Linked DNA regions of Callithrix jacchus. The protein of the gene in region 1 purifies or fractionates together with the protein of each later gene. This does not show direct contact. Links are inferred from orthologs where the notes say so. Each region holds a gene or a part of one and is shown on either strand. Other genes may lie near its edges.

Region 1 (9,606 bases):
TGAGCCACAGCCCGGGCCAACAGTGTCTTCCCAGTGCCTGGAGGTCCATACAGCAGCACTCCCTAAAGGGGAACAGCAAGAGTCAGGGCAGAAAGCTACCCGGCTCATTTCATTCAGTGAACATTACGGAGTGTTGGGTCCCTTGCTACAGGTTAGGGATACCAAAAAAAAAAAAAAAAAAAAAAAAATCAAGGTCCATTCTGGAGCTTATATCCAAACCACCACCCTAGAACACTTCCCCAGCCACTCTTTTCGGGGGAAAGGCCAGCCTAAGCCAGGCTGGCTAGGACAGGATTAGTAAGGTAGTAAGTACAGCTTGGCCCTCCCAGAGAAGCCCTGCTCCTCACCTTGGGCTGAGCAATGCCCAGTGCTTCGAAGAGCTCGGGATGCTTAACAGGCAGCTCGATCACTTCTTTGATCTCCTTGATCTGTTTGTCTAGTCCACCAATCATCTCATAAGTCGAATCTGGCACTTTCTCCACCATCATCAGTGATACCAATGGGTCCACCTTATTGGGCAGGATCTTGTGTAGAGTGTAGCTGTCATTTCTTAGAGCCACCCGGCAATTGGGTGTCACCTGGGTGAAGGGGGCAAGTTTCAGAAGTGGTGCAGTAAGAGCTGACCCCGCTACCCCCACCCCCTCACCTGCTACACTTACGTCATTGATGTCAATGTTTTTGTCCACATCTACAACAAATTTGCCCTCAGGATGTACCTAAAGAAACAAGGGCTGATGACATTCCAACAGCCACCAAATCACTAACCCTACCCAGGAAGACCTATGAGAATCCCACAATAACTTGATAGAACACAGAACCCTGTCTCCTGAGGCTACACACAAAGGGGTGGGAATGCAGCGGAGACTGGGCTGGTCCCTGGGTCATGCTGCTTTTACCTTGACCAACACTTTCTTCTTATCCATGGCCCGGACTACTTCCCCCACATAGGAGCCCTGCTCCTGCAGCAGCTGTAGCTCCTCCCGCAATAGGCGAACTAGATGGCAAACAGACATGGTGATCACCTAGCTACTCCTTGGGAGCTCCCAGGATCCAATTCTACATGCATGAGCTAAGTACCACTCAAGTTATTAAAGGAAGGCCAAGGGTCAAAATTCGTGTCTTTTTTTCTGAGACAGTAAAAAACTTAGCTGGGCATGGGCATGGTGGTGTGCCCAGCTAGTTTTTGTATTTTTGGTAGAGATGGGGTTTCACTATATTGGCCAGGCTGGTCTTGAACTCCAGACCTTGTAATCCACCCACCTAAGCCTCCCAAAGTGCTGGGATTACAGGCATGAGCCACCGCACCCAGCCAAAATTCTTGTCTTTAAGGAGGTTACAATGGGGCTCAGGAAAGAGATGCATGTGAAACTACTAGATGACAATGGAGAAAACAGCACTGCTGTGAAGACACAGTGCAGGGAAGTTAGGACAGAGCTCAAACTGCCCACATGCAGCTTCGCATCTTTCCTCACCTTTAGCATTTAGTTCATTCCTTTGTGCCTGCAGCCTCCGGAGGTTTTGGCTCTTATCATTCACAATCAGCTGTAATGGACAAGAGACAAATTTCATTACTCAAGGGCAGGAGACAGGAGGAGGTAGGATCTTGGTCAAGACCTCACAGGTCGGAACAAGCTGAGGGAAGGGCACACAGGGCACCTGCATGTTGTTTCAGATTCTCCAGTGTGTTTCTAATGACCCTGTCCTGTCCTCCACGAGTCCCTCTGGAGCCTAGGGCAGCCATCAAAGAAGGCTACTTGTCCAATACTGGTCCAGGAATAAGAATCTAATGGAGAAAAGTTATAGCTGGCTCATATAACACTGAATTTCTTACGAGAAGGCAACATCACCTGGTGGAAAGATCGTCAGGTGAACTCACCTGAGTTCTAGCCCAGCTACTATCAAATCAAAAGCAAGGTAAAGCTAAGGCAAGCTATTTTTAAAAATCTAGATCTGTTACCAAACGGCTCATGAGTATAGTATCAGCTGCCCCGCTGCTTTTCAGAACTACTGAGGTGAACGAATAAAAATGATAAACTAAACATAATACCTGCAAATGCACTTGGAATTCAGAATTCTTACTTGTAGCTTTCCCCCATCCAATTTATATTACAGCTGACCCCTGAACAACGCAGGAGGTGAGGGCAAAATTGAAAATCCATGGACTTGTCCCAAGTTAAACTACTAATCGCCTACTGTAACACTATAACATGACATTTAACACTAACAGCCTACTGTTTGTTGTCAGTAAGGCTTACCACACTGGAAGCTGTACCTTACTACTGGAAGCCTTACTGACAACATAAACAGTCAATTGGGGTTAGGGCGAAATTGAAAATCCATGGACTTGTCCAAAGTTAAAATACTAATAGCCCACTGTAACACTGTAACATAACACTGTAACACTAACAGCCTACTGTTTATGTTGTCCAATACTGGTTCAGGAATAACAGAATCTAATGGAGAAAAGTTACAGCTGGCTCATGTAACAGGGAATTTCTTGCAGGAAGGCAAAGTCACCTGGTGGAAAGATCTTTAGGTGAGAAGCCTGAGTTCTAGCCCAGCTGCTGTCAAATCAAAAGCAAGGTAAAGCTAAGGCAAGCCGTATTTAAAAATCTAGATCTGTTACCAAACGGCATGTGGGTATCGCATCAGCTGCCCTGCTTCTTTTCAGGATTACTGAGGTGAACAAACAAATACACATGAAAACATTCAAAAATGGTAAACTAAACATAATACCTGCAAGTATTATGCAGTAAGGCTTACTGCCTGAAGCCACACCAACTTACTCCTGGAAGCCTTACTGACAACATTAACAGTCCATAAATGGTCCTTTTTCTATGGTTAAGTGCTTTAGGTTAGAGCTCTGGGTTGCCCAGTTTCTTTCATTCAGTCTCCATGGAATGAGCATTGTTCAGAGGTCTCAATGATGCCCTTCCTCACATTCTCACTTCATCCTGACCCAACCTCTTCGTGATAAATCTCATCTCCTGAGCCTGTGTGTTCCCTTTTCTAAGGAAACACACTCGGGCTTCTTCCAAAAGGGTTGACCTTTGGCTAGAGGTATCTTTTCTGTTAAGATTTGACTCTTAAAGATGTGGAACAAACCGTGAACACTAGAACCCTCAAAGGGGTGGGACTTGAGAACAAGAGATTGCTTACTTCCAACATACACACCCCACTAAGAAACAAACAAGAAAGAAGCAGCAGCAGCTTCTTCCACTGCACTCCCAGAGGAATTAGATTTGTGGAAGTCAGCAGCCATCCCTCCCAACCCCTCTCCTAGCTCCCGCTGGAGTCTGTCCTCACCTGGAGTTCTTCAATCTTGGACAGATAATATTGGCGGAGACCGCTGCCTGCCTTCCCCTCCTCCAGCTCCATCTGAAGACACAGAGTGAGTCTTAAACGACAGGCTAAACGTCCGAGGGGGTAAAGCCACTTGCAGGGCACTTTGAATTAGTCTTGACACCAGGCAGCTTTGCGTAGTAAAAAAGTTTGTACTTCCGAGGCTCGGGATCTGGGTTCTAATCCCTCCCTCTCTTGGAACCCTCCATTTTCTCATGATTAAAATAAAATGGGAACGCCGCCTACCTCGCAAGACTTTTAGGAGGACCGAGGGGCGATATATACACGGGAGCTCTTTGCACTGCGTCAAGCGCGCTACAAGCCCGAGTGGTCATTACTGCCGACGGAGCCAGCGAAACGGAGCCGAAGGACTGGCGTCCGATCTCCTGCGATCCGCGGGCCGGCTGTTCCCGCGCCCATTGCTCCCCTTACTCACTCCACTTCTACCGTGTCTCCTCTTCCAGCCTTGCCCTGACTCACCGAGGGCGGCGCTGACACAGCAGATCCGGTCGCAGGCAGCATCCAGCCTGGACTGGTCCAGCCACCTCCTACCCACCCGACTCTCCTGCGCCGGCCCGCTCTCCACTCAGATGACACCCGCTCCTCACACAGCCCCATAACCCGCCGGGCCGCCACTGCAGCCGCCATACCTGCTCTGGCCCGTCAAGCGCCATCTTCCCTTTTCAGCAGAGACAGCCGGCATCCGATCCGTCTTGGAGCGCAGGCGCGGAAGACAAGGCTTGAGACCTGACGACTAGGCAGACAAAAGTTCCGGGTCAGTGGGCGGAGTGTGCGGCGAGTCCGCACTAACTAAGGGTACCATGATGGGAGGGGCGGCTACTCGAGTTCATGGGCTTTGGAAAAGGAAGAAGAGGGAGTAGCATGCCTCAGTGTTCCCGCATAGAAACTATGTTTATGTGCTGTAATATGCCTCCCTGGTCCCAACTTTCAACTTACAAAACCCGAGGACAGAGTATCGAGAAAAAAAAAAAAAAAAAAAATCTATGGCCACACGCAAAATGGCGGAAAACCTTGAGCCAGGGACGCAGGGACGCAAACGGAAGCGGAAGTACGTTTGCTGCCTACTTGTGCAGTTTCAAGCGGCGCTGGGTCTAGGTGGAGTGTGTGGAACCCGGCGCGAGGTGGAATTGCTGCGGAAAGTGGGAAACTGGAAGTAGAATCTGGTGCTCCGGAAAGACACGTTCCCAACTTCTACTTTCTCCTCAGATTGAGCGCTACTCCTCCATTCCACCATGGGCAAGAAGGGCAAAGTTGGCAAGAGCCGACGGGACAAGTTTTATCACTTGGCGAAGGAGACGGGTGAGTCTGGATTCGGATTCGCTCCGTCTGCGAGCGAGCGAGCGAGCGATCTCTTCCCGGTTCGCTTCCAGTTTCCGACCATTGGGTTCCTCTCCTGCAGAACGGGTGGTGGTCTGCGAGGCCGGAGAAATCCTGCTGGTGAAGCCCTCTATGCACTTGGTTGTTTTGTCCAGGTTACCGTTCCCGATCTGCTTTCAAGCTGATCCAGCTCAATCGCCGCTTTCAGTTCCTGCAGAAAGCCCGAGCCTTGCTGGATCTGTGTGCTGCGCCAGGGGGGTGGTACGTAACACTTGCCACAAGTGGCAGCTTTCTGGGTTCAGAGCCGGGATGGATTCCAGTTTCGTTGCGGGAGGACGGGATTCGGGATTCCCCTCCCGCAATACAGTAATTCCAGCCTCATATTTATCTACAGCCCAGAGCATAGGTCCCTCCTAAACCTTGGGGGACCGTTTCCTTTCTTGATTGCAGAGAAAAGGCTTGGAATACGTACCTGTGGCATGCTCTGGCCAGTGCATGTAACACCAGGAATGAGAGGTCAGTTGCCAAGAGAGGGAAAGGGTTGGCTCTAGGTTTTAAATCTCTATTCCTTTTATAGGCTGCAGGTAGCTGCCAAGTTTATGCCTGTATCCAGCCTTATTGTGGGTGAGTGAGGACAGCTCTCCTTCGTGTTTTAAGGGATGGGTGTATGAGGTACTTTGTCATGTATTTCTCTCCTCCCTGTTTGAGGCAAAAGTATTCCTTTAAATACTCTGACCTGATTTCTTCCAGGAGTGGACCTGGTTCCAATCAAGCCTCTCCCCAATGTGGTGACTCTGCAGGAGGATATCACAACTGAACGCTGTAGGCAGGTAACAGGAGTCTCTCTCTTCCTTTCCCGTTTATACTCAAACATCCACATCCCCAAAATCCTCTAGAAGCAAGTTTAGAGGATGTTCCATGTTTTGAGCACGTTCCCGCCTGACATCTGTATGACAAGACCCATGGTTTCCATAGTGTCCACTCCAGCATTTATTTAGAGTCAGGGATGAAGGTGCTTGGAATCGGGATAAGGACAGAGATCTTTAGTGAAGTCTTTTCTTATGAACTCACTGTTAGACTCTACACTCCATGAAGGTAGCAACGTAATATTTTTGTTTAATGTTATCTTCTGTGCCTGGAACAGCATTTGGCCCATGATAGGCACTCAACAAATGACTGGATGGACAAATGGCTGAATTAGGCCTATTACTGTGTCTCTGTTTCCATAGTTCTTTTTATTCTCTTTAGGCCTTGAGGAAGGAGCTGAAGACCTGGAAGGTTGATGTTGTGCTAAATGATGGGGCCCCCAACATTGGGGCTAGCTGGGTCCATGATGCTTACTCACAAGGTACAAGGAGTGTGGCACTTGGAGATCAGGTGATGGTGGAGGTGGGCGCATGCCCTCTTGGGCTGCAGAATGCCTCAGCTGTCTCTATCCTACAGCCCATTTGACACTGATGGCTCTGCGTTTGGCTTGTGACTTTTTGGCCCGTGGTGGCTGCTTCATCACAAAGGTTTTCCGTTCCCGTGACTATCAGCCTCTGCTATGGATCTTTCAGCAGCTGTTCCGCCGTGTCCAGGCCACCAAGCCCCAAGCGTCTCGCCATGAATCTGCAGAGATCTTTGTGGTCTGCCAAGGTGGGCATCACTTCCTTTCTTTTGGTCCAGCCTTCCTACTCCCAAAGCATAATTTTTAACATATCCTGTCATTTTTAGGATTCCTGGCCCCAGTCAAGGTTGACAGTAAATTCTTTGACCCCAAATTCGCCTTCAAGGAGGTAGAAGTTCAGGCTAAGACTGTTACTGAATTGGTGACTAAGAAGAAGCCAAAGGTGTGTTTTGGGGAGTGGGGTCACCGTTGGGTCCTGGAACTCTGGGGAAGTTGGGCCTCATACCCTAGAAGGGACTGCCCAACCTTCTCTATTTTTCTCCCTAAGGCCGAAGGCTATGCTGAGGGTGACCTCACTCTCTATCACCGTACCTCAGTCACTGACTTCCTCCGAGCTGCCAACCCTGTTGACTTCCTCTCCAAGGCCAGCGAAGTGAGTCTCCAGCCTTGAGGGACATGAGGTAACCCTGGAAACATGGCCTGAGAATCTCCTTTCCCTCCTCCCAAACAGATCATGATAGATGATGAAGAGTTGGTACAGCATCCAGCCACCACTGAGGATATACAGGTGTGCTGTCAGGACATCAGAGTATTAGGGCGCAAGGAACTCAGGTATGCAGTAGGGTGGGCATGGGGGCCAGGAGCCCTGGAGGCAGGGAAAGGCCATGATGTTGGATCTCTGGGAAGGGGATGTTGCTGTGCTAAAGGTTTGGGGTGGGGGCCTGAGCCTTTTGATTTATATAGCCAAAGCCTGAAATTTGGTTAGTGAGCCTAAAACAGAAGTGGGCAGGAACAAAGAGGGAGATGGCAAGACCAGTAATATTATTTCTGGGGCAGGTCGCTACTAAACTGGAGAACAAAACTTCGGCGATATGTGGCCAAGAAGCTGAAAGAACAAGCAGAGGCACTGGACATCAGGTGAGGAGGGAACTCAGCCAGGCGGGTGTTAAGGGAAAGTCGGGAAAATAACCTAACTCCTTGGACTGTTTTGCCAGCCTCAGCTCTGGAGAGGAAGATGAAGGTGATGAGAAGGACTCAATAGCTGGGACCACAGTGCAGCCCTCTGAGGAGGAGGAGGAGGAACAACTGAACCATACCCTGGCCAAAATAAAGGCCCAGGAGGTGGCAGAATTAAAGAGGTGAGAGGAGCTGGGGTGAAGCATGGAGTCTCCCAACGCAGGGATCCTCCATGTGACAATGGGAGAAGAAAATGCAAGGCATGGATAGAAACTCTTCAGAGCTGGGCACATTTACTCCCTCAATCCACCCCCTCAGGAAGAAAAAGAAGCTGTTGCGTGAGCAGAGAAAGCAGCGGGAGCGTGTGGAGCTGAAGATGGATCTGCCTGGGGTTTCCATCGCAGATGAGGGGGAGACTGGCATGTTCTCCCTGCGCACCATCCGGGGCCATCAGGTGAGGCAACATTGGGGTTGCAGGTTTAGGAGACAGAAGATCCATGTGGGAGTTTGGAGGTGGGGGGTGTTGAATGTCTTTTTTAGTTCCTGAACAATGGGCTGTGGTTGCTGTCTTCACCACAAGATGCCTTGGTGAGTCTAAGGCCACAAGCAAACCTTAAAGGATGAAGTTAGGAAGACAGATGGGTGTACTACATTTATTGTTGTAGAACTAGAACATCAGAAAAGAACTTAGGTTATAGTTGATGCAGCCAGGTTACTTGAGTTACAAACAGATGAATAGAGGGTCTCCATCAGAGGGGAGCAGCATTCTTGAGTTCACTGAGACCAAGTGAGCACGTGCATTAGACTTCTTCCACTGAATACTGAAGAACATGTTTTTCCTGACAAAATCAGGGTCACAGGCAAAATGAACTTTTGTGGCTTTTGTGAGGGAGTGTCATAATCAGGTCATCTTTGTTGTGTAGGAGGCAGTAGAGCATGGTGGGCCTAGAGCAGACACAGGCTCAGATTTCCTTCCCAGCTCTACCACCTGGAGCTGTGTGAAGTGACTGAACTATCATTTATCCTTGCTGCTTCAGTTTCCTCATCTGTAAAACAATAATAGAACCTACCTACTAGAGTTCTTATGAGGAATAAAGATGGTCAGTTGTAATCCCTCCTATGTGATAAACACTCAAGAAACAGTAGTTGGGGTCTTTTTATTTAGACAGGGCCTTGCTTTGTCACCCAGGCTGGAGTGCAGTGGTGCCATTATGACTCACTGTACCCTCAAACTCCTTGCATCAAGCAATCCTCCTGCCTCAGCCTCCCAAAGCGCTGGGATTACAGGTGTGAGCCACCATACCCAGCCTACTATCTTTGCCATGAGGAAAATAAAAAGTTCTGACAGTTGGTTTAAGTGGAATAGTTTGGTTGAATGTTTTTTGGCTGGGCCCCTTTTATTTAGTGGAAACAAATTGTGTAGATGGTCTTCTCAGGAGGTGACTGAGATGCCATCTGAGAGTAATTTTTAAAAGAAAACCAACGTTGTAGAATATGTTAAGATTTGGTGCTAGGGTACTTTTCCTTAAGACCTATTTGTGCTACCACTGAGACAAGACAGCTGAGTGGGAGAGACCAGTAACCCAGCCTAGAACAGGGTGTTGTAAACAGGCCATTCACTACCCTGGGTGTGAGCTTTCCCGTCTGCGAAAGGAGATAATGGATTTGCCAGTGTTCTTTCTTGCATTGCTGAGCATAGACTGAGGTGAGGGATGCAGAAAAAAACAGTATGTTTTCTTTACCTCTTTGTTTGTTACACTTCAGTTATTAGAGGAAGTAACACAAGGGGACATGAGTGCAGCAGACACATTTCTATCCAATCTGCCAAGGGATGACATCTGTGTGTCAGATGTTGAGGACGATAGTGATGACACATCTCTGGATAGTGACCTGGATCCAGAGGAGCTGGCAGGAGTCAGGGAACATCGGTGTCTAAGGGACAGAAAGTGGTAAGGGGCACGTGTGTGTGCCAGAGGGAATGCTGCCACTCTGAGGCAGCACTGGGTGGGTACTGCCAGAGCCCAAGTAAGGGAGCAAGGGCTCCAGGCACTCTGGGTCCCTGAGCCCTCTCCTACTTTCCTTTGGATCTACAGTGTGCGATTTGCTGAAGCGGAAGATGATCAAGAGGAGGAAAATGAGAATCCACTGCTGGTACCACTGGAGGAAAAGGCAGTACTGCAGGAAGAACAAGCCAACCTGTGGTTCTCAAAGGTATGAAGAGGCTGGAGGCAAGACTGATGGGAGGTCAGCCTTCCCTGGGAGAAGGTCAGCTGACATTCTCCCATCACAGGGCAGCTTTGCTGGGATTGAGGACGATGCCGACGAGGCCCTGGAGATCAGCCAGGCCCAGCTGTTGTTCG
Region 2 (9,549 bases), on another chromosome or scaffold:
TATAGGTCCTTATTACCATGAGAAACGACGAGGCGAGCTTAGAAGCCACACAAGTGAGCAAAGTGAGTTACCAGTCCAACTCCCATTTCCTCTTATGCCTTGTCCAGCTCTTAGAACAGGCTCTGGTGATTGAGGAACAGCTGCGCCGGGCTGCTTACTTGAACATGTCAGAAGACCCTTCTCACCCTTCCATGGCCCTCAACACCCGCTTTGCTGAGGTGGAGTGTTTGGCGGAAAGTCATCAGCACCTGTCCAAGGAGTCAATGGCAGGAAACAAGCCAGCCAATGCAGTCCTGCACAAAGGTAGCCAGTGGCTCCCCTGCCTCCTGCTGATTCAGCTTCCTTCCTCATCTGACCCCATCCCAGTGTATATATATCTGTTTTCAAACCTTTTTCAGAGCTTCTTTGGGAGGTTAGGAGGTAATAGGGATCTTTGCCATCCTAGGGAAGCTAATATCTTAGAGGCAATCAAAGACAGTACTTTGCCTCCTTTTTTTTTTTTTTAAAGACGGAGTCTTACTCTGTTGCCCAGACTGCAGTGTAGTGGCGCGATCTCAGCTCACTGCAAACTCCATCTGGGAGTTTAATTTCCTGTCTCAGCCTCCTGAGTAGCTGGGATTACAGGCGTCCACATGACCTTGGGTGATCCAGCCTCCCAAACGGCCTTTTTTTTTTTTTTTTTTAAAAGAGATGGTTCTTGGCTGTGCACAGTGGCTTAGGCCTGTAATCTCATCACTTCGGGAGGACTTGGCCCACTGCAACTTCTACCTCCTGTGTTCAAGCGATTCTCCTGCCTCAGTCTCCTGAGTAGCCGGGACTACAGGCATGCAGCACCACTTGTGGCTGATTTTTGTATTTTTATTAGAGAGAGGGTTTCACCATGTTTGCCAGGCTGGTCTTGAACTGACTTCAAGTGATCCACCTGCCTTGCCCTCCCAAAGTGCTGGGATTATAGGCGTGCAGATCCACTGTGTCTGGCCCTGGCCACCTATTTTAACTTTAAATATATTCAGGTTCTTGAGATGGAAAGCAAAGCACAATAATACAGTGTCATTTGGGATACTTTAGAGGTAACTTCAGGTGATAAAAGATCCCTTCAAATTCTAGACCCCTTTCAACATTTTGTTTCTAATTAAAGAAAAGGTTATGAGGAGGTGGAGGGTGAAATGAGGAAAAGAATGCTGTTATAATGGAGGTGGGAGACAGATTCTGAAGGTAGAGAATTATTAAGAGAAAAGAAAATAGGAATAAGCTTCTCAAGAAGGGGAAATACCATAATACCAAGGGATAGTGAAGGTTTAGGTGACTTTAAAAAGCACAGGATTATGGACAGTTGGAACTGGAATATGAGAAATGGGAATTGGAACATGATGGAGGTCAGGTGACAGAAGACAGTAGCACATCACAGTCACTTGGTCACTGAGAAGTGACGGGGGGGCTGGTCCACTAGGATAGAGGGAGCTCAGTCTTGGCCACCACAGCTCACCACCTCTTTTTCTCCCTATGCAGTTCTGAAACAGTTGGAAGAACTGCTGAGTGACATGAAAGCCGATGTGACTCGACTCCCAGCTACCATTGCCCGAATTCCCCCAGTTGCTGTGAGGTTACAGATGTCAGAGCGTAACATTCTCAGCCGCCTGGCAAACCGGGCACCCGAGCCTACCCCACAGCAGGTAGGACCATTTTCTTCTCGATGCCACCTCTTCCTACAGAACCATTCTAGAGTTTGTAACTTTGCTGTATGTCCCTCGCTTTGCATACTGGGTGGATGGGCTATCTGAATTCCCTTGAGATTGGGTAGCTTCCTGTCATCTGGAATTCTGACTCCTTGGTTCTCTTTCTCTATAGGTAGCCCAGCAGCAGTGAAGATGCAGATTGATACCACCTCCACCACTGAGCAGTGACCTTCCTCACTTTTCTCTTGTCCCAGCTTCTCCCTTGGGGGCCTGAGAGACCCTCACCTTCCTTCTGCCCATCTTCCATGATATAAACGAACAGCCCCCGTGCACTGGGAGAGGGGTGGGAGTGAGGGGCAGTGGTGCCCTTCCTGCAGGAGAGACATGCAGCAGTAGCGCCGGCGCCATCTGCAGGAGCTGGCGGGCTGGCCTCTGGACCCTGGCTTCTCCCCACTGTAACGCCTGTTACAAACTGTTGTGGGTTCCTGCCAGGCTTGAAGAAAATGATCTAAATTTCTTCCTCCTTTTGGTTTTATTTTGTTGGTTTATTTTATGTTTTCTTTTCTCCTTTTTGGGGGGTATTCAGAGTGGGCTGGGCCCCTGGGCGAGACACAGCTACCTCTGTTGGCATCTTTTTAATACCAGGAACCCAGCGGCTCTAGCCACTGAGCGGCTAAATGAAATAAAGTAGAAAAAAAAAAAAAAGGAAAAAACCAAAAGCATAAAAAACCACAGCAAATTTCTTGATGAAAATTGAAAATAAAAGTTTCCTTGTATTTTAGTGCTCTGGTTCAGTGTGGGTGTAGGTGCAGGTGGATGAGTGTGTGTGGCAGGAGCCTGGCACCTGTATAATTGAAAATTAAGGTATCCTGATACTCCACTGAAGAGCTGGGTTCTGTGTGTGGGTGCAGTGTGTGCCCAGCCAAGGATGACTTCTACCTGTGGAAAACGAGAGGCTGCAAAACTGGAGGACCACAGCTTGATAGCTCTGTGACCTTGAGCAAGTTGTTTCACTTACGTGGGATGCAGATTTCTCATGTATAAAACAAAAAGATAAACCCTCATGGTTGTCAAGTTAAACCAGTAGAGTACTTTTAAGTTTTTAACATCTACTAACCACTATCTTAATGTTAGTTTCAGGGAAGGCTGAGGGAGGTTTTTCTTGTTCAGTTGTGCAAAATGGGGATGCAATTTGTGGAAGAGCACACCCTCGATTTAACACCACCGGAGACTGGACCAAACACCCTCCCACCCCGAAATCCTGGTAGCTCACCCTTCCGTCCCAGACTAGGTCAGCCTTGCAACCCGTCGTTTCCCAACGAATTATAGACTTGCCTGAAAGCGAGTTCGGGCCGAGACGCCCCCTGTGAACGAGGTGCAGTGCAACACCTCAGCTGAGGGGCTGAGCATGTGTGAACGTCAAGGAAGAGGCTGGTAGGGCGGGGCGCGGTGGCTCAGAGCCTGTAATCTCAGCACAAAGGCGGGGGATGATCGCTTAAACCCAGGCGATATAGTGAGACTCCCCCTCCCCCCCCCACCCCGTCTCTATAAAAGATTTTTAAAAAGGGGAGGCTGGAAGTAGAAGGTAAGTAAGTGGTAAGGAATTCCATGATTTTTTTCTCTTTTTGAAGTGGAGTTTTGCTCGTGCTCAGGCTGGAGTGAAGCGGCACGATCTCCGCTCACTGCAACCTCTGCATCCCGGGTTCACGCAATTCTGCCTCAGCCTCCCAAGCAGCTGAGATTATAGGCGCCCACCACTACGCCCGGCTAATTTTTGTATTTTTAATAGAGATGGGGGTTTCACCATGTTGGCCAAGCTGGTCTCGAACTTCTGACCTCCGGCGATCCACCCACCTCGGTCTCCCAAAGTGCTGGGATTACAGGCGTGAGCCACTGCGCCCGGCCTGGAACTACATTATCTCGATGCTGGATTAAAGCAGTGCATGCCAGGGAGAGGACCCCGCTGTCGGGCCCCGGTTCGAGGAGAGGGTGCGGCTTTCACGCACCAGCTTTTCCGACAGAAACCAGCCGTGAGGCTCAAAGCCAACTCCTTGAAGGAAGGGGGGGGCAAGCTGAGAGGTTTCGTCACATTGCTCCTTCCATCCCCCGAGGGTGTAAGCTGCGCGTTCCCTTCGAATTTCCCCCTGCCAGCTTCCGCCCGCCCAGCGCGCTTTCCCAGAGCAAGCGTAAGTTCCGGGTGCGGCGGCCTACTGGTCGCAACCGGAAGAGGCGGGGCCACGAGGCTAGCGCTACCCATGCGCCTGCGTGGGACGGTTCTGTGGCAACTGCGGGCCGAAAGCTAGCTCCGGAGTACACGTGGAGCGCCGCCCGAAGGGCAGTCTCAGGCGGTAACCCGCGTTCTGGTGGGTCTAGAGGAAGCTGGGGGACGAAGAGTGGCAGCGCTGACCTGGTCTGGGACGTGGGGAGAGGGATGCGCTACCTGGGTTTCCGAGTGGGAGGACGTTTGATCGGGCCTCCAGGGGGATAGCGGGGGTGCTTGAGTCGCGGGTGCTGAGTCGTGGGTGCTGAGTTGAGGCTGTGCCTTTTCCCACTCTGATACGCCAAGCCTGCGTTCTGCCATTCCCTCTGACACGCACGACGCTATCTTCTCCCATTTCTGTATGCCACAGTACCATGGGGCGTAAGTTGGACCCTACGAAGAAGGAGAAGCGGGGGCCAGGCCGAAAGGCCCGGAAGCAGAAGGGTGCCGAGACCGAACTCGCCAGATTCTTGCCTACAGGTAACAATTAGTTGTGGCCCCCTGATCCCTCAGCTTTTGCAGTATTCTGTATCATAACCTCCGCTCTTTTTTCATCTCTGTTCATTTTCTATTCAGTCTTCTCTGTATGAGTTACTACGAGGTATAAATGAAACACTGTCGTTGAGATTGTAGGAACTGTTTAGGTCATAGAGAAGATGTGACATGGACACAACTATTCCTGCAAAGAAAAGTGCGATTTAAAACATTGTGGGTTCAGAGGAAGGGAGATCCTATGCAGAACTGTAAAAGTTTTTGTTAAAATGGGTTTTGAAAAATGGGTAACATTGTAGTAAGAGAAGTAGCGAAAGGGGAGGGGTCGGTCAATGACTTGCCTTTTGGAAGGTATGGAAATGGAAAAGCATGGATCTGGCTTCTCCATGCCGATCCGTCTGCTGTGTGGAAGACTGGACTGGGAGTTTGTGTTGGGCAGTGGATAAAGGATGCAGTTTATTGAGATGGTACCAAATCCTGGACACTATTGAACTTGTTGGTTATGTTATATCACTTCATCGTCTTAGAGTCCTGTGAGAGAGGCACTATTAAGGAAGTGGATGCTGAGACGTTAAGAAACTCGTATAGCCAGGTATGGTGGCTCACGCCTGTAATCCCAGCGCTTTGGGAGGCCGAGGAAGATGAATCACCTGAGGTCAGGTATTCGAGATCAGCCTGGCCAACATGGTGAAACCCGGTCTCTACTAAAAATACAAAATTGTGGTGTCTCAGGCCTGTAGTCCCACATACTTGGGAGGCTGAGGTAAGAGAATCTCTTGAACCAGGGAGATGGATGTTGTAGTGAGCCGAGATTGCTCTATTGCACTCCAACTTGGGAGACAAGAGTGAAACTCCATTTCAAAAAAAAAAAAACTGGTATACAGCTATTATATAATGATAGGGCTGAAATTCAAATGGCCTCCCTTTAATTAGGGTACTAATTCTCTTACCACTTTTATTTTCATTCCCGTTTTTGTTTTTTATTTACTTTTATTTATTTATTTTTTTTGAGATGGAGTCTTGCTCTGTCGGAGTGTGGGTTATAATGCAGTGGTGTGATCTTGGCTCACTGCAACCTCCGCCTCCCAGGTTCAAGCAATTCTCCTGCCTCAGCCTCCCGAGTAGCTGGGACTACAGGCGCATGCCACCATGCCTAGCTAATTTTTGTATTTTTAGTAGAGACAGGGTTTCACCATGTTGGCCAGGATGGTCTTGATCTCTTGACCTCGTGATCTGCACGCCTTGGCCTCCCAAAGCGTTGGCATTACAGGCATGAGGCGCCGCACCCAGCCCTCCTTTACTTTTAATGTCTCCTGTAACTTATTCTGCCTCATTTTTCTTTTTTAAACAGTAAGTGATGAAAATTCCAAGAGGTTGTCTAGTCGTGCTCGAAAGAGGTAAGTGTGGGTATCAAGACTTCAGTAGGTTAAATTGGTACTGCTCATCTTTGACCACAGAGTTAATTGTGGACTCTCATATTTCCCCGTGGTGGAAATGGCAGAGCCTGGAAGTATCTTCCCATTTCTTCACTCCTTGTATCTCTTGTATATTTTCAGAGCAGCCAAGAGGAGGTTTGGCTCTGCTGAAGCCCCTGAGACAAATAAGTCTCCTGAGGCCAAGCTGTTGCCTGGAAAGCTACCACAAGGTCAGTGAAACTAAGAGCTGGATGCTACATGTGGAGTCCTCTGGGTCCTGGGTAGGGAAGGACTTGCTGAACATTTCTAGAAAGGAACAGCCAAAGGACATTCTGAGGAGTAGAAAGTACAGGCTCCTAGGGTGTGGGGCCAGGGAATGTGTGGCTGCCATTAGTTCAGAACTCTTCAAACCCTTAGGGATCTCTGCAGGAGCTGTCCAGACAGCTGATAAGAAGGGAACCCAGTCCCTATTTAATGCTGCTCGAGGCAAGAAGCGCCCAGCACCTAGCAGTGATGAGGAAGAGGAAGACTCTGAAGAAGATGGTGTGGTGAACCACGGGGACCTCTGGGGCTCCGAGGACAGTGATGCTGGTATGGTAGATGACTATGGAGCTGACTCCAACTCTGAGAATGAGGAGGAAGGTGAAGAGGTGAGATTCATCTCTCGGGGCATTCAGAGAAGGTCCTTTCCATTTAGTTTTTTTCTAGATTTTTGAGACTATTTTTTAGTGACAAGGATAAGCCCGATTAGAGGAAAGCAATTTTTGTGCTCCATCACTGTTTCCCTACTGCCTTACATCCTCTCCCAGTGCACCTACAAGTTTGAAACTGCTGTGGATAGAGCATTTAAAAAAATCTGGAAGGCTCTGCTGATGTGGATGTGGGAAGGTGGACAATGGTATGTTCCACCGACGGGAATAGACATGTAGGCACTGTTTTTATAAAGCAGTTAACTCAGAACTTTGAAAAATGTGTTCCGGCCGGGCGTGGTGGTTCAAGCCTGTAATCCCAGCACTTTGGGAGGCCAAGGTGGGTGGATCACGAGGTCAACAGATCGAGACCATCCTGGTCAACATGGTGAAACCCCGTCTCTACTAAAAATACAAAAAATTAGCTGGGCATGGTGGCACGTGCCTGTAATCCCAGCTACTCAGGAGGCTGAGGCAGGAGAATTGCCTGAACCCAGGAGGCGGAGGTTGCGGTGAGCCGAGATCGCGCCATTGCACTCCAGCCTGGGTAACAAGAGTGAAACTCCGTCTCAAAAAAAAAGAAAAGAAAAGAAAAATGTGTTCCTTTTGGCTGGGTATGGTGGCTCACATCTATAATCCCGCACTTTGGGAGGTTAAAGCAGGAGGATTTCTTGAGACCAGGAGTTGGAGACTAGCTTGGACAACATAGAGTGAACCTGTATCTACAAAAAATTTTAAAAATTGGCCGAGTGCAGTGGCTCACACCTGTAATCCTAGCACTTTCGGAAGCTGGGTGGATCACCTGAGCTCAGGAGTTCGAGACCAGCCTGGGCAACAAAATGAGACTCAAAAAAAAAATAGCTGGTGTGGTGGCATACGCCTGTAGTCCCAGCTACTCAGGAGGCTGAGGCGGGAAGATGACTGGAGCTTGGGAGGTTAAGGATGCAGTGACCTACGATCTTTACTGCACTCCAGCCTGGATGACAGAGTGATACTGTCTCAGAAAAAAACAAAACAAAACTGAATCCTTTTGACATAGTAATTCCCTGTTAAGGAAGATGACCCAAAATGTAGGCAAAGAGTTATTTACTGAGGTGTGCAGGAAATTATTATAAAATTAGTGTGCGAATGTATTATTAGAATTGTATAGAATAAAAAAAGTTTCCATGTGCACCCTTTCCTGCAACGCCTTATATCTACAGAGTCACTATGAGGTTTGCAGGCACCATGTTGATCATGATGGCAGAAACTCTGGAAACTTCCAAAATATACAATCTGCTTAAGTATATTCATGCATATGATGTAGTTAACACTGGTCATTATGTCTGTGAAAATGCTTGTGATCTAACTGAAGTATCAAAAGCAAGAAACAAACTTGAAAATGCATTATGTGAAAAATATAGAGTAAGTCTGGAAAAAATATGGCAAAATGGTGGCCAAGGGCAATTTTTTGTCTTTTTTTTTTTTTTTTTTTTTGCAACCTCTGTTTCCCGAGTTCAAACGATTCTCCTGTCTCGGCCTTCTGAGTAGCTGGGACTACAGGTGTGTACCACTACGTCCGGCTAATTTTTTGTATTTTTAGTAGAGACAGGGTTTCATCGTGTTAGCAGGATGGTCTTGATCTCCTGACCTCATGATCCGCCTGCCTTGCCTCAGCCTCCCAAATGATGGGATGACAGTTGTGAGCCACCATGCCTGTCCTTGTCCCTTTTTATACATACAGGTATTTGTATTTCAAGTTTTTTTTTCTGAATGGAAAAGTGAAAAACATAGGAGTAGAAAAAAAAAGTGTAATTACCGATTTAATTCATTACTTAGTTTTTGTTTTTTTTTTTGAGATGGAGTCTTGCTCGGTCGCTCAGGCTAGAGTGCAGTGGCTCAATCCCAGCTCACTGCAACCTCCACCTGCTGGGTTCAAGCAATTCTCCTGCCTCAGCCTCCCAAGTAGCTGGGATTATAGATGTGTGCCACCACGCCTGGCTAATTCATTACTTAGTTTCAACAGTGGTCAGTATTGTACCAATCTTATGTTCATTTCTTTGCTTCTCTATTTCCTTCTGAGAGCAAGTGTCAACATTTTTATTTAGCAGAAAAAATAAGATACAGAGATAGAAAGTGCTTCATGGGCTGATGGAAAGGCAGGCCTGTGTTAACAACCCTTGTCTCTTCAGTTGCTGCCCATTGAAAAAGCTGCTCGGAAGCAGAAGGCCCGGGAAGCTGCTGCTGGGTGAGTTTTGGAAGCAATTGGGATGGAGCATAGGCAGCAGCTGGGGTGGGGGAAGCCGTGAGGAAGGAGGAGGTGTTTGTTTTGGTTTGTGAATCACTCTGTTCCTGGACCTATTTCTAGAGTCCAGTGGAGTGAAGAGGAGACAGAGGATGAAGAGGAAGAAGTGACCTCTGAGTCAGGCCCCCCAAAGGAGGAGGAGGCAGATGGGGGCCTGCAGATCAATGTGGATGAGGAGCCGTTTGTGCTGCCCCCTGCTGGGGAGATGGAGCAGGATATCCTTGCAGGGCAGAGTGAGCAGTAGGAGGAAGGTGCTTAGTAGAGCTATTTCCAGGCCCTAGGACATCATGACACAGTTCCTTAACAGGCCCACATGCCCAGGCTCCAGACCTGCAACGAGTTCACAAGCGGATCCAGGATATCGTGGGAATCCTGCGTGATTTTGGGGCTCAGCGGGAAGAAGGGCGGTCTCGTTCTGAATACCTGAATCGGCTCAAGAAGGACCTGGCCACTTACTATTCCTATGGAGACTTCCTGCTTGGCAAGCTCATGGACCTCTTCCCTCTGTCTGAGGTACTAGATTGCCAGAATGCCCCCTTTGCTTTTCTTTCTCACCACCTTACCTGTGTAAGGAAGATGTTCAAGCCTCCTTGTCTCCCTCTGACTGAGCTCCTTATCCAGCCTCACTTATTCCCTGCTGTCTTTCCCGAAGCTGGTGGAGTTCTTAGAAGCTAATGAGGTGCCTCGGCCCGTCACCCTCCGGACCAATACCTTGAAAACCCGACGCCGAGAC
Region 3 (9,726 bases), on another chromosome or scaffold:
AGATGGTGAAGTGGAAGACAGACACTATGAAATCCAACCAAGTGTACCATCACTGTAAACCGATATAAATCTTTTGAGAAGTGATTTGAAAATATAAGTTATGTAATTAAAAAAAAAAAACTTTACCCAGTAATTCCAGAATGTTGGAAATACCAACCAAACAGTCAAAATTAGAGTGAGCTTGGCTTTACTACTCAAAAATGCTGGAAATGCTAAATTTTCACGCATCTCCTCAGTGAGCAGGAGTTTTATAAGACAAATGGCCAGAACTCTTCAAGAAAAACCAAACAAGCAATAAAGGGCAAGGAGACTGTTCTAGATAGGCTCAGAAGCTTTAACAAGTAAATGTAATGCACAGATCTTGAGAGGGACTCAGAACAGGTAACAAAAAAGAATAGCTGAAGACATTTTAGGGGCCAGGCACAGTGGCTCACGCCTGTAATCCCACCACTTTGAGAGGCCGAAGCGGGAAGATTGCTTGAGGCTAAGAGTTCGACACCAGCCTGGGCAACATAGAGAGACCCTGTCTCTACAAAAAAAAAAAATAAAAAACATTATCCAGGTGTTGAGGCACGCACTGGTAGTCCCAGCTACTTCGGAAGCTGAAGTGGGAGAACTGCTTGAGCCCAGGAGTTTAAGGCTGCTGCAGTTAGCCATGATCCTGTCACTGTACTCCAGCCTGGGCGACAGAATGAGATCCTGTCTCAAGAACAAAATAAGGCTGGGTGTGGTGGCTCATGCCTGTAATTCCACCACTTTGGGAGGCCGAGGCGGGTGGATCACCAGAGGTCAGGAGTTTGAGACCAGCCTGGCCAACATGCTGAAACCCCGTCTCTATTAAAAAATACAAAAATTAGCCGGGTGTGGTGGCGCATGCCTGTAGTCCTAGCTATTCGGGAGGGTGAGGCAGGAGAATCGCATGAACCTGGGAGGTGGAGATTGCAGTGAGCTGAGATTGTGCCACTCAACTCCAGCCTGGACAACAGAGCCAGATTCCTTCTTAAAAAACAAAACAAACATACAAACAAAAAACCATTTTGGGAACAACTGGAGATACAAAAAGACAGTGCATTATATACCATTATACTGTGGTTATATTGAAAGACATGTCTTCATTCTCAGATTTATGATGAAGTATCTAAAGTAGTATAACTGCTGCTTTTTTCTAATGGTTCAGGAAAAAAGAGTGTGTGTGTAGGTGTTTATATAGTAACAAAACAATGAAGCTAATGTGTTAGGATGTTAATAATGGGTGAATCCAGGTGAGGACTGTAGAGATGACCATCCCACTATTTCTTCTACTTCTCTATAGCCTACAAATAAAAACACACAGCTGGGGGAACAATTACTATATTGCAACACGGGAAAACACTTGCACTTTTCAAACTCAGAGCCTGACCTTTTGAGGGGGTAATAGGATCAGTTTAGGTCACAAGGATACTAAAAAACAAACAAAACTAGGCCAGTCATGGTGGCTCACACCTATAATCTAAGTCCTTTGGGAGGCTGAGGTGAGTGGATCCCCATCAGGAGTTTGAGACCAGCCTGGCCAAAATGGTGAAACGCTGTCTCTACTAAAAATACAAAAATTAGCTGGGTGTGGTGGCGCACACCTGTAATCCCAGCTACTTGGGAGGCTGAGGCAGGAGAATCACTTGAACCAGGGAGGTGGAGACTGCAGTGAGCTGAGATTGTACCACTGTATTCCAGCCTAGGTAACAGAGTGAGACTCTGTCTCAAACAAAACAAAAACCAAAAAACCAAAAACAAAAACAAAAACCTGAGTAGAATGAAACAAAATCATCCAACAAAACAAGTTTAAACATTGTCTCATTTGACTTTTATTTCAGTTATGCTTACATGCATGTGTACATGTGCTGGTCTGTGCTGTAAAACTTACTTTTTTCTTTTAAACCCTTATCTTCTTTGTGATGGTAAAAACTGACTTCTTACTGAGAACCAAAGTCTGCAAAATACTGTTCTAAATAAATCTGCCTATACCTGCATAAAGACTTCATGGCAGCTTCATCTAAAGAGTTAAGAGTAGTAAAAAACCTAATGTTTGGGGTGGGTACAGTGACTCGCTCATGCTGTAATCCCAGCGTTTTGGGAGGCCAAGATGGGCGGATCACCTGAGGTCAGGAGTTCGAGACCAACTTGGCCAACATGGTGAAACCCTGTTTCTACTCAACATACAAATATTAGCCAGGTACAGGGGCAGATACCTGTAATCCCAGCTACTCAGGAGGCTGAGGCAGGAGAATCACTTGAACCTGGGAGGTGCAGATACAGTGAGCCGAGATCGCCCTACTACACTATGGCTACCTGGTGACACAGTGAGATTGTCTCAAAAAAATAAAACAAAAAAACAACACCTAATGTTCAATAGGAGGGTGGATAAACTTCAGTTACAAGTAACAAGCAATGATGATAACAAAGGCACTAGAGATACAGGAATAATGCTGATTACTGAACAAAAGAATTCAGCTGAAAAAGGATAGAAATAATAGAATTTAAAAATAATACCATATATACATTTATATATGTAATAAAAACTTATAGATAGCACTGAAAACTGAATTTGTGAATTTAATTCCCTACTTAAAGGAGAAGGTGAAGAGCCTTGGGAAGGGTAGGAAAGGGACCTCAATTCTACCTATAATCTGTATCTTTAGGATAACTAACAGATGATGGATGCACACCCTATGCCCTAGATGCTAAATCAAATAGGCGTCTATGGCTACAACCCATTAAAGTTTATGTGTGGGGAAAAAATAAAGTGGGTAGGCTAGGTGAGGCAGTTCACTCCCGTAATCCCAGCACTTTGGGAGGCTGAGGTGGGTGGATCACAAGGTCAGGAGTTCAAGACCAGCCTGGCCAAGATGGTGAAACCCAATCTCTACTAAAAATACAAAAAATTAGCCAGGTGTGGTAGTGGGCACCGGTAATCATAGCTACTCAGGAGGCTGAGAACTACTTGAACCCGGGAGGCAGAGGTTGCAGTGAGCAGAGATTGCATCATTGCACTCCAGCAGCCTGGGCCACAGCAAGGCTCCATCTCAAAAAAAAGAAAAGAAAGTGGAACAAAGTGGGTCACTCCTCTACTCTTGGAACAAGTTACATACACCTTTTTCTCATTAGAAGGCAGGTATGACACAATAGTAATTACACTTATATAGTGTTTGCTGTGTGCCAAGCAATAATTCTAAGGATTTTATATATATTATTTCTTTTAACCTTTGACTAAATACTCCCATAAAGTTTTACTCACATATAACAGATCACAACACTGAGCATGGTATGGTCATATCACTCTAACTAGTAAGGGCTAGAGCCTGGCCCTAAAGCTTGGCAGTCCAACTCCAGAGTCCTTATCTTTATTCACCATATAAATCTTTGCTATGATAGGGATGCTTGTACCAAAGGCTAATACAAGATGGATGAACCTAGTCCTCATACATAAGTTCATTTACCAGGACTGTCAACTTAATATAAGGATTTGGAGCAATGTAACAAACAAACTTTTACAATAATACTGATTTTGCTCCTGTGGCCGTTCCAGATTCTTTTTTTTTTTTTTTTGAGACAGATTTCACTCTTGCTACCCAGGCTGGAGTGCAATGGCGCGATCTCGGCTCACTGCAACCTCCACCTCCTGGGTTCAGGCAATTCTTCTGCCTCAGCCTCCTAAGTAGCTGGGATTACAGGTATGCACCACCATGCCCAGCTACTTTTATGTATTTTTAGTAGAGACGGGGTTTCACCATGTTGACCAGGATGGTCTTGATCTCTTGACCTCGTGATCCACCCGCCTCGGCCTCCCAAAGTGCTAGGATTACAGGCTTGAGCCACCGCGCCTGGCCCGGCCCTTTCAGATTCTAAACCTCAGCCGCTCTCCTTTTTGCAATGAAATCTGATAAACAATAATACATAAGTGAACGTGCTCTTTAATGTCAAAGATAATACACATTTGAAAAACAAAACAGCAAACACAATTACAAAAATCTTACCCTTTTACTTCTGGACAGTCTGAACCGTGTCACAGTGCCAAACTGGGAGAAATAGGAAAAGATCTGGGTTTCGTCAAGTAGGTTAGGCAGGTGGCGCACATAGACGACTCCAGGGGTAAGCTGTTCTTGTTTGTTTCGCTGAAGACATAAAGACCAGGTAAATTATTTTTTCTTTTTTTTTTGAGATGGAGTTTCCCTTTTGTTGCCCAGGCTGGACTGTAGTGGCCTGATCTTGGCTCACTACAACCTCCGTCTCTCAGATTCAAGCAATTCTCCTGCCTCAGCCTCCCGAGTAGCTGGGATTAAAGGCGCCTGCCACCACGCCCCCCGCTATTTTTTTGTATTTTTAGTAGAGACGAGGATTCACCATGTTGGCCAGGATGATCTCGAACTCCTGACCTCAGGTGATACACCCTCCTCAGCCTCCCGAAGTGCTAGGATTACAGGTGTGAGCCACAGCGACCAGCTAAATATCTTTAAGAAAATCACATTGCAACAAAGCTTGCAAAACTCCTAGTCCCAGCCCTCGACCCAAGAACCTACTCTGCATTTCCACTTACCACAGCAGTAATTAAAGAACTGGCTGTTTAATGTCTCTACCCACAAAGGCCATGGCTGAGCAGTAGTCGACTGTCTTTCCAGCCTGGCACCCCACCACTCAGTAAAATGTCAGTGCTCAATAACTATGTCAATCAGCGGATAAGCAAGGACAACCCTGAACAAGCCATTTTACATCTTCTGCCCGGAGAACTCTATATAACTGTACCCATCACTTTGTATGCATACTGTTTACTCGCACTTCATCGAAAAATTCTCCAGATGATTGTTAACTCTCACAGTACAGATTAGCCTTTCAGCGTCTCAGTCGTCTGTTACCTCTGTAACAAGAACGTCTAAGTTTCCCGGTGTATTGTATGCTAAAAACCACAGAAAGTATAAGGGATGTCAGGGGCCCTAGTCAGCAAGCGCAACTTGGCAAATAAAGTATTTTAATAACTCTCAGATCTCCAACCCGGCATACAAACCTCCCGAAAGTGGTAAGTCTGGGGCCTCCATTTTCGGAGGCAACGCGGCAGTGACAGCTCTAACCCGGAGATAATCTGCAGTATGGGAGCCCATTCCCTCCAGCTGGGTCCTTCCTCCGCTTCCGTCACCCAATACCTCCCCCTTACTCTCCACATGAAGGCTCCAAGTCCTCAGCGGCCAAACCCCTCCATAATGTACTGACCAGCGTAAATCCTTTAGTCTGGGAAACCGTGGCCTGCAAGCTCAAGAGGTCGGTCCCTGATTCAGGCGAATCCAGATGGGAGACCCTGGAGGTAACGAAGGCGCGCGCGAAGGCAAGAGGAGCCGGGCCGGGAACTGCGCAACCCGAGAAACCCCCTAGACCCGATGCGTCTCCCGTACTCACAGCCTGGGCTAGGGCGCCTGCTCACCTGGGTTATGCGCTTGCGAACCTGCGCCACCTCCTTTTGAAACTCGCCATCTTCTTGCGGGTTAAGCGACAAGACTGGAGCAGCCGGACCAGATAACACCGCCATGCCAAAAGCGGCCACTAACTCCACGCGGCACTACCGGAAACGTCGGCCTCCCAATTCCTCCGAGACGGAAGTAGAATCAGGACCCGGGCGCCGCGAAGCGCTGTGGAAGGCGTGGCGAGGGACGGGGAGGGCCAAGAGTCGGGACCCGGGTTGGAGCTGGAGTGGCGCGGCGGAGAGGGAACGGGGCACGCGGTGCGGCAAGGCAAGGGGGCGGGGTATAAATTGCTCCGGGGGCAAGGGCGGGGCACGAGGCGTGGCGAGGGGCACGTATTGCGCGGAGGCACTGGGGCGTGGCACCAGGCGTGACAAGAAGCGGAGGGTGGGGAGTAAGCACGCCAAAACGCGGGGGCAGGCTAGGGGGCGTGGCGAGGCGCGGGGGTGTGTCTGGGGCTGAGGCGCGGGGGTGTGTCTGGGGCTGGGCCGCGGCGAGATCCGGCGCCCTCCGCTGGCGAGGCGCGGATTGGCTTCGCTTAAGAGTGCCTGCCGGGCGCGGTGGCCTGTGCCTGTCATCTCAGCTTCTCCGGAGGCTGAGGCGGGAGAATCGCTTGAACCCGGGAGACGGGAGTTTGCGATGAGGCAGGATCGCGCCATTGCACTCCAGCCTGGATGACACCGAGACTCGGTCTCAAAAAAAAAAGTGCCTGAAACAATTACATTCACGCCGACTTGCAAAGGAGGTCTAAAATCAATTTCAAAACAATACCTGTGCTCTTGAGATGCTGCTCTCATTCCTTAATTTGCTTATTTATTTATTCTTTTTTAATCGAAAAGGAGTTTCGCTCTCGTTGCTCAGGCTGGAGGGCAATGGCGCGATCTCGGCTCACCGCAATCGCCGCCTTCCGGGTTCCAGCGATTCTCCTGCCTCAGCCTCCTGAACAGCTGGGATTGCAGGAGCCCGCCACCACCCCCGGCTAATTTTGCAGGATACCCTGGTCTCGAACTCCTGACTTCAGGTGATCCACCCGACTCAGCCTCTCCAAGTGTTGGGATTACATGCGTGAGCCACCGAGCCCGGCCCTAATTTGCTTATTCTTTCACTCACTAGTGTCTGAGCCCCTCCTGTGTTCCTCCGTCCGTCGCCCTTAGGGAACTTACAGCCTGGGGACTTAAAATTTCTATTTTCATCAAATACTGAACAGGTTAAGAAAGTAGATTTTGCTGCCAACTTGCTGTTTCTTCATGAATTTAAGTCAATTCAATTTAGAATTAAAAGCCAAAACCACTTACATTCAAAACTTACAAGGCTGAAAAGTCACTTTGATGACATTTGAATTGTAATATCAGCTACTTTATGTACTTCCTGTGCTGTGGAAAGTTAAAAGCCGTGAGATCTGCATTCCCATACATATACTTACAGCAGTTATATTTTCCAACCTAAAACGGTGGTTCCAACAGTGTTTTCAGACCTCAGTAAGAGTGCAAAGGAAATTTCCCTTTCTCAAAATCTGTGTAACTGGGGGACTACAAAGCTTCCACCTAGTTTTCAACAGAAGATGACTAACAGCAAAGTAATAACATGCTAGCACATGCCACAACAGAAAGGTAACAGAATTCTGCAAAACATTTTCAAGTGAGGAATATACTCAGTTGAAATCATACTTGGAGGCCACGCGCGGTAGCTCACACCTGTAATCCCAGTGCTTTGGGAGGCTGAGGTGGGCGGATCACCTGAGGTCAGGAGTTCAAGACCAGCCTGGCCAAAATGGCAAAACCCTGTCTCTACTAAAAATACAAATATTAGCCAGGCGTGGTGGCAGGCGACTGTAATCCCAACTTACTCCGGAGGCTGAGCCAGGAGAATCACTTGAACCCGGGAGGTGGAGGTTGCAGTAAGTGAAGATTGTGCCACTGCACTCCAGCCTGGGTGACAGAGTGAGACAACATCTCAGGGAAAAAAAAAAAAGAAAAATCATACTTTCGTGGGCGCCTCTAATTCCAGCACTTTGGGAGGCCCAGGCAGGTGGATCATGAGGTCAAGAGTCAAGATCAGCCTGGCCAAGATGGTGAAACCCTGTCTCTAATAAAAAAATACAAAAATTAGCCAGGCATGGGGGCAGGCACTTGTAATCCCAGCTACTCAGGAGGCTGAGGCAGAGTATTACTTGAACCCAGGAGGCAGAGGTTGCAGTGAGGCAAGATCACACCACAGCACTCCAGCCTGGGAGCATGAGTGATAGAGCGAGTCTCCATCTCCAAAAATAAAAATAAAAAATAAAATACAGGTGGGGTGCGGTGGCTCATGCCTGTAATCCTAGCACTTTGGGAGGCAAGGCAGGCAATCACCTGAGGTCAGGAGTTCGAGACCAGCCTGGCCAACATGGCAAAACCCCGTCTGTGAATAAAAAATAAGTAAATTAATTAAAATACAAAAATTAGCTGGATATGGTGGCGTACACCTATAGTCCCAAAGCTTTTGAAACCCATCCTTTAAAACTATTTTAAAGAATAGGCTTAATGGCCACGTTCTGTAGTTTCTTTTCACAGCATATGTATTAACAAAGAGTAAAATGTCTTTAAATAAAATCAATAGTCGTCCTTTCTGCCCGTGGACGCCGCCGAAGCAGCATCGTTAAAGTCTTTCTTCTCCCCGCGATCATGTCTAAGTCAGAGTCTCCTAAAGAGCCGGAACAGCTGAGGAAGCTCTTCATTGGAGGGTTGAGCTTTGAAACAACCGATGAGAGCCTCAGGAGCCATTTTGAGCAATGGGGAACGCTCACAGACTGTGTGGTCATGAGAGATCCAAACACCAAGCGCTCCAGGGGCTTTGGGTTCGTCACGTATGCAACTGTGGAGGAGGTGGATGCAGCCATGAATGCAAGGCCACACAAAGTGGATGGAAGAGTTGTGGAACCAAAGAGAGCTGTCTCAAGAGAAGATTCTCAAAGACCAAGTGCCCACTTAACTGTGAAAAAAATATTCGTTGGTGGCATTAAAGAAGACACTGAAGAACATCACCTAAGAGATTATTTTGAACAGTATGGAAAAATTGAAGTGATTGAAATCATGACGGACAGAGGCAGTGGCAAGAAAAGGGGCTTTGCCTTTGTAACCTTTGACGACCATGACTCCGTGGATAAGATTGTCATTCAGAAATACCATACTGTGAATGGCCACAACTGTGAAGTTAGGAAAGCCCTGTCAAAGCAAGAGATGGCTAGTGCTTCATCCAGCCAAAGAGGTCGAAGTGGTTCTGGAAACTTTGGTGGTGGTCGTGGAGGTGGTTTTGGTGGGAATGACAACTTTGGTCGTGGAGGAAATTTCAGTGGTCATGGTGGCTTTGGTGGCAGCTGTGGTGGTGGTGGTTATGGTGGCAGTGGGGATGGCTATAATGGATTTGGTAATGATGGAGGCAATTTTGGAGGTGGTGGAAGCTACAATGATTTTGGCAGTTACAACAATCAGTCTTCAAATTTTGGACCCATGAAGGGAGGAAACTTTGGAGGCAGAAGCTCTGGCCCCTATGGTGGTGGCGGCCAATACTTTGCCAAACCACGAAACCAAGGTGGCTATGGCAGTTCCAGTAGCAGCAGTAGCTATGGCAGTGGCAGAAGATTTTAATTAGTCTGATCGTGACGCTGAATAAATGTCTTTTTAAAAAATAAATAAATAAATAAATAAATAAAATCAATAGTCAAATAATCAGGCTCTTGCTTTTGCTTGTTTGTTTCAAAGTGCAAGGTTGAGTGTGCTCACTGTATTTCTCTGTGAATGTTAACACCGGAAATCCAGGACGTTTAACTCAATTGAACATTTATCGAGTGCTTGCTATACTAAAGAGACATATTGTGCCTAAAACAAAGTTTGCACCAAGTCCACTGAGAAAGCAGCCTCTCCTCCATGTTTCATAATTTTTTAGATAACTGGTTCTACTCCTTTCCCACCTTCTCTCCTCATCTCAGTTGAGGCTAAATTGGTTTGACATTGCAGATTATTTCTAAGACTCCTCCTCTTCTGTGTTTGCAACCATGAAAGAGATTTATCTAGTGTTAAACAAACTTGTCTAGTTCAGAGTTTATTTCTCCTTTAATTCCAACATTTGGTAGGATTCGATTAGTAGAACTAACCATTTCAACATCACTTTAGAACTTCTAAAATTATTTTCTGAGCCATGCTGTTTTCTTATTTTTGCTTAATCTAACCATAGTGATCCCCATGCCAGTAATGAGCAAAGAAAA

The links.
Region 2: the proteins of FTSJ3 (region 1) and NOP2 fractionate together in Homo sapiens (co-fractionation; 3 studies listed by BioGRID and IntAct, with this or other methods). This does not show direct contact. The link is inferred for Callithrix jacchus from reciprocal best matches to the Homo sapiens genes FTSJ3 and NOP2.
Region 3: the proteins of FTSJ3 (region 1) and NIFK fractionate together in Homo sapiens (co-fractionation; 3 studies listed by BioGRID, with this or other methods). This does not show direct contact. The link is inferred for Callithrix jacchus from reciprocal best matches to the Homo sapiens genes FTSJ3 and NIFK.

The regions. Positions count from the first base shown.
Region 1 is NC_133506.1:89,101,695-89,111,300, reverse strand, and holds the start of FTSJ3 (pre-rRNA 2'-O-ribose RNA methyltransferase FTSJ3), read left to right. Parts: upstream 1-4,432; 5' UTR 4,433-4,484; intron 4,485-4,569; 5' UTR 4,570-4,595; coding exon 4,596-4,662; intron 4,663-4,835; coding exon 4,836-4,941; intron 4,942-5,257; coding exon 5,258-5,304; intron 5,305-5,430; coding exon 5,431-5,510; intron 5,511-5,928; coding exon 5,929-6,028; intron 6,029-6,123; coding exon 6,124-6,318; intron 6,319-6,396; coding exon 6,397-6,512; intron 6,513-6,617; coding exon 6,618-6,722; intron 6,723-6,800; coding exon 6,801-6,901; intron 6,902-7,126; coding exon 7,127-7,207; intron 7,208-7,284; coding exon 7,285-7,428; intron 7,429-7,564; coding exon 7,565-7,700; intron 7,701-9,010; coding exon 9,011-9,195; intron 9,196-9,339; coding exon 9,340-9,457; intron 9,458-9,536; coding exon 9,537-9,606. Other genes in the region: PSMC5 (26S proteasome regulatory subunit 8), read right to left, coding at 1-62, 348-578, 660-716, 897-994, 1,473-1,542, 3,307-3,378, 3,993-4,016.
Region 2 is NC_133510.1:20,753,671-20,763,219, reverse strand, and holds the start of NOP2 (28S rRNA (cytosine(4447)-C(5))-methyltransferase), read left to right. Parts: upstream 1-3,954; 5' UTR 3,955-4,039; intron 4,040-4,306; 5' UTR 4,307-4,310; coding exon 4,311-4,416; intron 4,417-5,779; coding exon 5,780-5,825; intron 5,826-5,984; coding exon 5,985-6,073; intron 6,074-6,260; coding exon 6,261-6,493; intron 6,494-8,703; coding exon 8,704-8,759; intron 8,760-8,879; coding exon 8,880-9,033; intron 9,034-9,131; coding exon 9,132-9,329; intron 9,330-9,468; coding exon 9,469-9,549. Other genes in the region: CHD4 (chromodomain-helicase-DNA-binding protein 4), read left to right, coding at 108-303, 1,510-1,673, 1,849-1,866. UniProt on the Homo sapiens protein: S-adenosyl-L-methionine-dependent methyltransferase that specifically methylates the C(5) position of cytosine 4447 in 28S rRNA. Required for efficient rRNA processing and 60S ribosomal subunit biogenesis.
Region 3 is NC_133507.1:106,282,801-106,292,526, forward strand, and holds the start of NIFK (MKI67 FHA domain-interacting nucleolar phosphoprotein), read right to left. Parts: upstream 5,596-9,726; 5' UTR 5,552-5,595; coding exon 5,447-5,551; intron 4,149-5,446; coding exon 4,011-4,148; intron 1-4,010.